2 linked regions of the Arabidopsis thaliana genome follow. The protein of the gene in region 2 interacts with the protein of the main gene of each other region in a pairwise test. Each region holds a gene or a part of one and is shown on either strand. Other genes may lie near its edges.

What was found. Proteins that work in one complex are often made in the same cells at the same time.
Region 1: the proteins of ATWHY2 (region 2) and SEX1 interact in binary tests that used the Arabidopsis thaliana proteins (3 or more experiments, as listed by UniProt).

Annotation. Positions count from the first base shown.
Region 1 is NC_003070.9:3,587,901-3,592,929, forward strand, and holds the start of SEX1 (Pyruvate phosphate dikinase, PEP/pyruvate binding domain-containing protein), read right to left. Parts: upstream 3,029-5,029; 5' UTR 2,976-3,028; intron 2,900-2,975; 5' UTR 2,525-2,899; intron 2,176-2,524; 5' UTR 2,144-2,175; coding exon 1,898-2,143; intron 1,695-1,897; coding exon 1,653-1,694; intron 1,566-1,652; coding exon 1,465-1,565; intron 1,372-1,464; coding exon 1,293-1,371; intron 1,175-1,292; coding exon 1,083-1,174; intron 984-1,082; coding exon 830-983; intron 411-829; coding exon 15-410; intron 1-14. Other genes in the region: AT1G10770 (Plant invertase/pectin methylesterase inhibitor superfamily protein), read right to left, coding at 3,959-4,462; AT1G10780 (F-box/RNI-like superfamily protein), read right to left, coding at 4,975-5,029. UniProt on the Arabidopsis thaliana protein: Mediates the incorporation of phosphate into starch-like alpha-glucan, mostly at the C-6 position of glucose units. Acts as an overall regulator of starch mobilization.
Region 2 is NC_003070.9:26,861,108-26,865,008, reverse strand, and holds ATWHY2 (WHIRLY 2), read left to right. Parts: upstream 1-1,554; 5' UTR 1,555-1,617; coding exon 1,618-1,649; intron 1,650-1,737; coding exon 1,738-1,841; intron 1,842-1,915; coding exon 1,916-2,019; intron 2,020-2,112; coding exon 2,113-2,205; intron 2,206-2,293; coding exon 2,294-2,388; intron 2,389-2,471; coding exon 2,472-2,545; intron 2,546-2,753; coding exon 2,754-2,842; exon of another isoform or gene 2,843-3,034; coding exon 3,035-3,160; 3' UTR 3,161-3,352; downstream 3,353-3,901. Other genes in the region: POK (Vps52 / Sac2 family), read right to left, coding at 1-62, 149-232, 388-489, 626-721, 894-951, 1,052-1,146, 1,247-1,273; AT1G71250 (GDSL-like Lipase/Acylhydrolase superfamily protein), read right to left, coding at 3,427-3,650, 3,736-3,901. UniProt on the Arabidopsis thaliana protein: Single-stranded DNA-binding protein that associates with mitochondrial DNA and may play a role in the regulation of the gene expression machinery. Also seems to be required to prevent break-induced DNA rearrangements in the mitochondrial genome.

The DNA.
Region 1 (5,029 bases), about 23 Mb from region 2:
TGCTATCAACTGACCAAAATCGCACTGCCTTCAAGCTTGAATGTTTTCTTGCTAAAGACTGGAGTGGTTTCTTGTTCCTCCTTTGCTTTGGCGTATATCTCCAGAGTTGTTAAGGACCGTGGTTCAGATGAGGATTTGGATTCTGGTTCAACAAAATCAGCAACATGCTTATAGATAAGCTTAGTCAGGTCCCTTCCCTTGCGCTGGATCTTGTCAGTGTTATAATTTTTTTTACGCTCTGGTTGCTTGGAAACTTTTTTCTTTTCCTCCCGTCCACTGGATGATGTCCCATTAGATTTTGGGGATTCATTACTGTTATCTTTCTTCAACAGCTTTGCTCTGAGATCTTCCACTGAAGCACCTCGCATCATTTCCTCCCGTAGCTCCGTCCGGGCGGCTTCATACTCCTCCTATTGATCAGAGACAAATTATTCTGCTTAGCTATAAAATAATGGATTTACACAAAAATGCAGAGAACTTGATATTGATGCAACTGAGATATATACAGGTTCATCAGATAAAGCAACAAATATATTTTCAAGAGCCACCAGAGCCAACTAAAACGCTATTACCAAAAAATCAATCAAGAGCATTTTCAACTTAGCTAACCTATCATCAATTTGCTGATCAGTCCAATATACCAGAATCTGCATCTAAATCAAAATTGTTGGAAATTTGTACTGGTGATGGAATCAACTAAATGGCTGGTGAGAATCATGATTCCTCTTTATGTGAATTGTAGAACAACATAAAAGGTGAAGAATTTAAAAATATATGAAGAAAAATAATCCTTGAAGATATGCTTGTATAGGTACAACGTCTGACTGACCTTCTCTTTCTCAGGGTTGTACATTTGTTTACCCTTACGTTCCCATCTAAGATATGCTTGGATCTGTACAAGATCTTCAGGAACAGAAACATTTTGTTTCACATTCCTTTCCGTTGGTAAGTTTATATGAAAATTCTGACCATTATTTTTATACCTGCATATGTTTTAGATTATGAGAAACGACAAAAATTGTAAACAGAATTAGGTTCTCTGCTCAGGCTTAGTAAGTAAGAAGAAGCGAAAACAAGCTAACCATTTGTTCCGACTTTCGTCAAATATAAGGAACTCAATAGCGTGTATGGCAGGATCATCTATCTCTAGTTTAAGGTGAGAATTGCCACCGGACTGCAGATAAGAACTCAAAGCATCATTTGGAAATCTTAAGTTGTACTGGTATCAGCTGGAAATCATACCATCACAAGTAGCGCTGTAATGTACGTCGAAGAATGAATTCAAAGCTTACTTTCACAAATGGAGTTCTAAGCGCACTGTTCTTGAAGTTTTGAGTTCTATCCGGAGAGCGAGAAGGTAGAACCCAATTTCTGACATGGAAAATAAGAAAGATAGTTAACTATACCATGTGCCATAACAAGCTATTACCTAGGAAAGTTGAACATCACTAGACAAGGACATACTCTTTGTTGTCAAGAATTGCACCCCAGTGTAGGAACAATGTGTCACTTGTATAAGCTATCTGGATATTTACTTCTCTTACAGTTGTAGAAGTGACTTCAACCTATTCAATTACATTCATAAAACCTACCATTAAGTCTACAAATGCCAACAAGATAGAAATTTCCATTATTTGTAAGGATATACTTACCAGTAAATCGATATTTCCGTCAAGACTAAATTTCTCGGCTGCCTGTTAAAGGATGAAACTTTTTAGCACACATGTCGATAAAATAACTATCTTATGCATTCAATTGGAAGAACAATGCATATGATTCAGGTCAATGAAAAAGTTTTGGACATGAAACGTCTAACATACATTGAGTAGTTGGAACCAAAATATCACATTCCAAACAATGTCAATAGTGGTGAAAAGTAAATCCATAAGAAAATAACCTGAGGATCCATGGCAAGGACAGCTCGTGGAACAAATGAGAGAGGTCTTCCTCCTGTTTCAGTGACCAGACTGCGTCCTGCCTGCTTAAGACCTTTCCCGTAAAGTTTTGATCTGCCAATCTTGCCAAGAGCCGGATTTGCTGTTGAAGTTTGGTACACAGAGGAGTTGAGCTTGTTTTGATGTTCAAAGTTAAGAGGACGAATCAAACCCCGGTTAAGTAAGTTATGCACTACAGAGTTACTCATGCTTTCTTGTCACTGAATCAAACTTGCCGGATCTGTTAAGTAAAGTAGAGATTATATAATAAGATAATAAGGAAAACAATGAAGCTTTTGCAATAGATGAGAAAAAAAAGGAACAAGTTATACTATTTGTCTCAAAAAGAAGAATCTGACAGAGTTAGACAAGAGAACCACACTTGTTATTTTTATTTTATTTTCACTTTGTAGAGAAACAGTTACTTCATTCTGCGAATGGAACATGTGCAATATACACTAAGAAGAAAAGAATCGTCTTTTATAGTCAAAACGAAAATATCTATCAAAAGAAAATTTGCAATTTGAATCAAATAACAAAAACACCGAAAGCAATCGAAATTGAAGGTAAAATTCAATTGAAAAAGATACCTGATGATCGAACCGAGACGAAGAAACTGAATACAATGAGAGAAAGAGAGAAGATCCCAGAATTTGAATGATCTTATGGATGAAGTGAGTGCTGGGGGGTTTCTTCGCTCTTTGTTCTTCTTCACTCACTCACACATACATACACTCACGTGTAATCGAAGTAAAAAACGACACTTTATCCTTCGATTCCACCACGTGGCACATCGTTATTCGAGCACGTAGGAGGAACGGCACGGAGAAAGAGAGCCCAGTGATACGTTGATGGACGGTATCTGTGGACTCCACCTTTTTTTTTTATTTGGGTGATATTTTCTTATTATATACAGAATCTTCTCACCGTTGATTTTAGCTTTTTTTAATTTTTCTTTCTTTTTTCTATTTTCCTGTTTTTGTCTTTTTGTTTTGATATTTTTATGCTTCGTTCTCTTGTATCTTTTTTTTATTGGTCGACATGTTTTTTTTTTTTTTTCTCTTGTGTTCACAAACCACGAATTGCAGAAGATATTTTTGTTTATCTTTCTATTCTTGTAGTGATATATATCCCAAGCCCACTTGTTCAATCATGTCAATTATATCCTAGCTAAACCTTATTTGGTGTTTTTGTGTGGTGTTTCTTCTATAGAGAGTTTTACACATTGTGGAAAACAAAATGTATGTTAAATATAGAAGCAAAGGATAATTTTGTATAATGTTATGTGTGTTTATTATGGTCCAATATTTTTCAATCCAAATCAAAGCAATTCTCACTTTCTTAAAACACTTAAAGACATTGAAACATGATCATTGAGCAAGATCTATCAGTTTTGCATGAAAGAAAAATTATTGAATGCTTTTATGATCATATCAAACTATAATATACATACAGATTTTAAGAAAAAGAGTTAAAAGACCATTTTAAATGGCAATATTTTTATCCAATATATGATATAGCCAAATTATTTTCTCAAAGATATTTTTTTGTTATGGATCCTGGGAAAAGTAAAACATAATCACACATATACTTTCTAAAAACATCATAATGATATCCATATCAATAATGAATTAGTGATAGTAGTTAACAAAACAAAAAGTTGTGCATTACTATAGTTTGTGTTTGTCTTTGTCACTTATTGTTTTATTTTTCGGTCAAAACTTAATCTTATTGTTGATAGTGAAAAAGTAAAGTGGGTTCAAGAAAGGAGAATGGAAAACATTTCTATCGGCAAATTGTTGAATATGAAAAAATCTACTAGCGATTATTAATTACACGAAATTCAAATATAATTAGTTACACCCAGTGGCGTTACATACGAATGATGGATCAACAACAAACATCTCTCTCAAAACAAAAACAACAAAAAGAAACCCAAATTTTAATTGCTTGAGATTTTTTATTTCTTCAATTAATTAGTTTTTGTTTTGAGAAAAATTAAATCAATTGTTCTCTTAAATCGATCATCTAATCAATGTAGACAACGCCAAGCAATTGCTGCTAATTTTTCTCAAGTCAACCACTGCATTTTGGATCGCATTAACCTGTTGTGTTTCAATGAACCCGTCCACACATGCACCGTAATCAGACACAGCCGCAGTTAGATACGTGTTCATCGCCGGCACATCACGTTTCCTTATGCTCTTTCTCGCGCTTGCCAAATTGTAAACCGCGTCGCCCAATGTCTCGTAACACGTGCTGACCGCTTGGTTACCGTTTTTGAACCTAGCTGTTTCGGCTAGAGCTAGTTTCGTCTTAGCCTCCAAAGCTTGGATGGTTCGGTGCGTGGCTTTTCTAGGGCTCGTGACACGTTTCACCAGAGGTCGGCACAAAGATGGATACGCGGTGTGAGAGCAGATATTGATCATACGCGACTCCGCGACTTGACCAGCCATGAGAAAGATCAATACGGCGGCGGATGCCGCGACTGCTGCAAAACGCAGCTGGAATGTGTCGCGGCCCGCCATTTTATTGATATTTATTTATGTATTTGAATTGAGAAGAAATTATCACCAGGTCATTTTTCAATGCAGGAGTTAATCACGTTATATATAGACAAGTTTTTTTGGTTTTGAAATTGTTGGTGGTGCGCGTTTTGCGTTTTCTCGTTTTATTTTAATGTAATGCAATCTGAGGTTTATCTTGTTTTAAGGAGATTATCTTCTTTTATCTTTTTTAAGCATAGGACAATACTTCTTTGATACATAAGTATACTCCAAAAACAAACTTTATCATAAACTGTAATTATATTCTGCTAGATCACTACTAGTATATTATTAATGTAGATTAAGAAAACAAGAAAGCTAATTAAGAAATGTGTCCATAATTTTTCGTTTAAAAAACAATTGTCATAAGTTCATCATAACCATGAATCAGGAAACAACAATTACTCAAGAGTTCAATATAAGAAATGCTCAGCGACCAGAAAGAGAAACAGAAATCAAATGGCTGAAAATAAGATTAGCAGCAAAAAATTATTTCATTCTATATGAACAAGATGCTCGTTCATGTGCCGGAACTTGCAGATATCATCG
Region 2 (3,901 bases):
TCTATCATCTTTGGTGGCACTATAATGTCTTCGACAAATTTTGCTAGCTTTGATTCAGCCACCTATTCAAATAGAAGAGTTCATTTGGATGAGTCACGAGTGAAAGCAGCAAGAGATAATACCAATAGTGGTTTCTGATTAGCTATACCCTGCGGTTTTTCAATCTCAAACCCATGTCCATTGACTTTTCTTGAAGAATCTTTATGTCTGAACTTATAGAACCAATCTCTTCCTGAAAGAAAAGAAGCAAAGTGCACATTTAGATTACCAGGAAAAAATATATGTATTTCAAAGTAAAAAAATTCCTCCCATTAAGCAAAAGTCAGAATAAGGAGAAAGAAGCACATACATACACACAAATTATATAAATGTCTAATTTTCAAATACCTGAAATCCACTGAGAAGAGTTTCCATTTGTGACAGGATGCTGTCACAGTCACGAATCTGATCGTGAAGTGAGACTAGGTTGTCACTTTCCTTTATGTAATCCTGAGTATTCATGGAATGTAAAGCATTTAAGTTAGTTACTTACGATATCAAAGAAATTCCCGAACTTATAGACGGAAGTACATAAAAAGTAGAAAACAACAAGTGCCACAATGTAGCACAGGTAGAGAATAACAACCTCGATTGAATCCAATTCAACCTTGCGTAGATTGTTTTCAACCCCTTTTGCATATTCTCTAAGTTTGTCACCACTAGACAGTATATTGGCAACAACCTGACATTTCACACAAACAAGATAGAAAGGACATCATATCCATGGATCTAACATTCTATGATCAATCCATGTACTCCAAAGTAACTCAAATGAGAGTAGAAACAATACTTCGAAAAAGAAGAACCGAGGTGCTAGCTTTATAAGTTTGATCTCAGTTAAGTGAATAACTTACCTCATCACTTTCACATTCTTCAAGTTCTTGTTGAAGCCCTTCCAATGAAATATCCTCACTGCCAAACAAATCAAAGGAGAGCATTCTAATCAGAAGAACAAAGAGAAGCAGAAACATATGTTATAGTCGAATTAAGATACAAAACATGAGAACGTTACCTGCCTGAATCTTCTTCAAAAGCCAAGTCTCCAACAAATGCTCCTAAATCAAATCCAAGTTTCTCATGATTACTAAAGTCCCCCATAGTTTGGCCCTATGAATTTCAGATAGAAGAGCAAAGCGAATTAGACAAGAGATCATAAAGGATCCATGATTAAGGCTAGAAGATCACGAATGCAAAAAAAATGAAGTACCAATGCGTCAATGGAAATGTCGGACATCTTCCTAATGAGATTAAGAGTTGAAAGATCTTCAACTAGAAAACGAAATCAGAATCCTCGAAATCAGTTTGAGTCCGCCATTAGAGAGTCTTCTTCTTCTTCTTCTTCTTCTTCTTCTTCTTCTTCTTCTTCTTCAGCTTCACCTTTCTCAGATTCGTTCGTCTTCTCTAATCTGATTTTTAATTTCCCAATCAACAATAAAGGCCCATTGGGCCGTTAAAAGACTTATATATAAAACAAACGGGTTAAAATATGGGTCGCCCGATAAAACCCGTTTTGATAAATCATAAAACCTCAGAAGTCGGAAGACCTCAAGTGATGCTTTTTACTCGAGACAGAAGAAGATGATGAAGCAAGCCCGCTCTTTGCTCTCCAGGTTACTTCAGTTCCTCTCAAAATTCAGATTTTAGATTTCATTACTCTTAAAATGGCTTCTCTGGGTTGGTTTGTTTTTGTTAAAGCAGGAGCCTTTGTGACCAAAGTAAGTCACTTTTCGAAGCTTCGACGTTGCGTGGTTTTGCAAGCTGGTCAAATTCTTCAACCCCTGGACGTGGATTCCCTGGTAAAGGTAAGAACTTGGTTTGTTTCCGTTTCGTCAGTTTAAGTGTACTTGCCCTAATTTTGTTTGCTTGATTTGAGAAGATGCCGCAAAGCCTAGTGGTCGATTGTTCGCACCTTATTCTATCTTCAAAGGAAAAGCTGCTCTCTCTGTTGAACCTGTTCTTCCCAGTTTCACTGAAATCGATGTAAGCCCAAAATCCATTTCTTTTTAGTTTTGTGTGTTCTCTTTAAAGGCTTCTTTTAGATTCTCATTACTTACTGTGAGTACAATTGTTTAGTCGGGAAATCTTCGGATAGATCGTCGTGGATCCTTAATGATGACTTTTATGCCTGCTATTGGTGAGCGTAAGTACGACTGGGAAAAGAAACAGGTATTGATCTTTTTCACACTCTCTATCTTCTTCACTTGTCTCTTCTTTCTCCTCTGATAAATTTGGTTTGTTTCCTACATTATTGCAGAAATTTGCTTTGTCACCTACTGAAGTTGGATCCTTAATTAGCATGGGTTCCAAAGACAGCTCCGAGTTTTTCCATGACCCTTCCATGAAATCAAGGTTTGTCTTTTTTTGCTTCAATACATTATATTTTTATCGCAGCATTTTCATGTTCTGACATAGACTTGTCTTTGACTCCTCAGTAATGCTGGTCAAGTCAGGAAGTCACTGTCAGTTAAGCCCCACGCAGATGGTAGCGGCTACTTCATCTCATTGAGTAAGGCTTCTATCAAATTAACATGGATAATCAGTACTGAAATACTTAGTTATGGGAGCTTTCTGTTTAGTAAATTTAGAAGCTTGCACTTGTATTAGTTTTGTAATATGGCGATAACAGTTTTCGCACAGAATAGCTGTCTTATAACAATAGGAATGCTGAATTCTTAATGCTGTATAAACACTTACCTTCTGCGGTTTTGTTGCAGGCGTTAACAATAGCATCCTCAAAACCAATGACTATTTTGTGGTTCCTGTCACAAAAGCTGAATTTGCAGTGATGAAGACAGCTTTTAGTGTAAGATAAGATTTTTATTCTGCGTTCTCTATATTCTGTTACTATTATATCAGTTCGAGAACCAAAAACATTGACTAGAAAAACCAAGGGCATTGCTTCTCTGTCAGTTTTAGCACATGAATCTGGATCAAGTATATATTCTTCAAGGGATATTGGTGATTGTTTTTTAACCAGATTTTGTATTTTGTGCAGTTTGCTCTTCCACACATCATGGGTTGGAATCGGTTAACTGGTCACGTTAATACTGAAGCTCTGCCGTCGAGGAATGTTTCTCATCTAAAGACTGAACCACAGTTAGAGCTGGAGTGGGATAAATGAAATGATGAGAGTAGTAGGAACGGAGTAAATTGAAAATGCATGTGTTCTTTTTTCTGGCATTTGGTGCACACGAAACTCGGCATGCTCTGTTTTGAAACTAATATGTCCTCTCTAAGACTTCTAAATCATGGGTCTTCTTGTTTTCATTAGCACATATGTTATTTAGTACAAGCATTTTGGTTTCAACTTGATACTCGATACTCATAGATAGATAGGTTCAATCATTATAACATACAACTTCAAAGAAACACGAAAACCAAAATATACTAGTGAAGGAGTGTCATCTGTTGGACATTGACAGGATATGCGTCGGAAGGTGGACCATAGAAAGCTCGTCTAGCCAGAATGGAGTTAGCAGTCTGAGTAGGATGGAATGCATCCCAAAAGACATACTGATTTCTGTTGGGACAAGGAGTCTGCAACGGCAGACATGTAATTTGTCCTTGGTTCCTCCCAATCCCGCAACAAGCCCTGTCTACTACGCTAAATCCTGTACCATATAAACCATGTTTGATCAGAGTAGAAATCATAGAAGAAACTCCTTTGACAACCATGTTATCCGAGAATAAGTGTACCGTAAGCAGCTGGGTTGTTTAAGATGTCACCAATTGCGCTATAGGTGTTGCCGTATACATAGATGGCTCCAGGTGATCGCTGGTTCAGCTGATCAACAAGTGACTTTAGCCCTTGGTTAAATGTGCCTAGAATCTGATTCACGCTGTCAACACATCTATCAGGTGG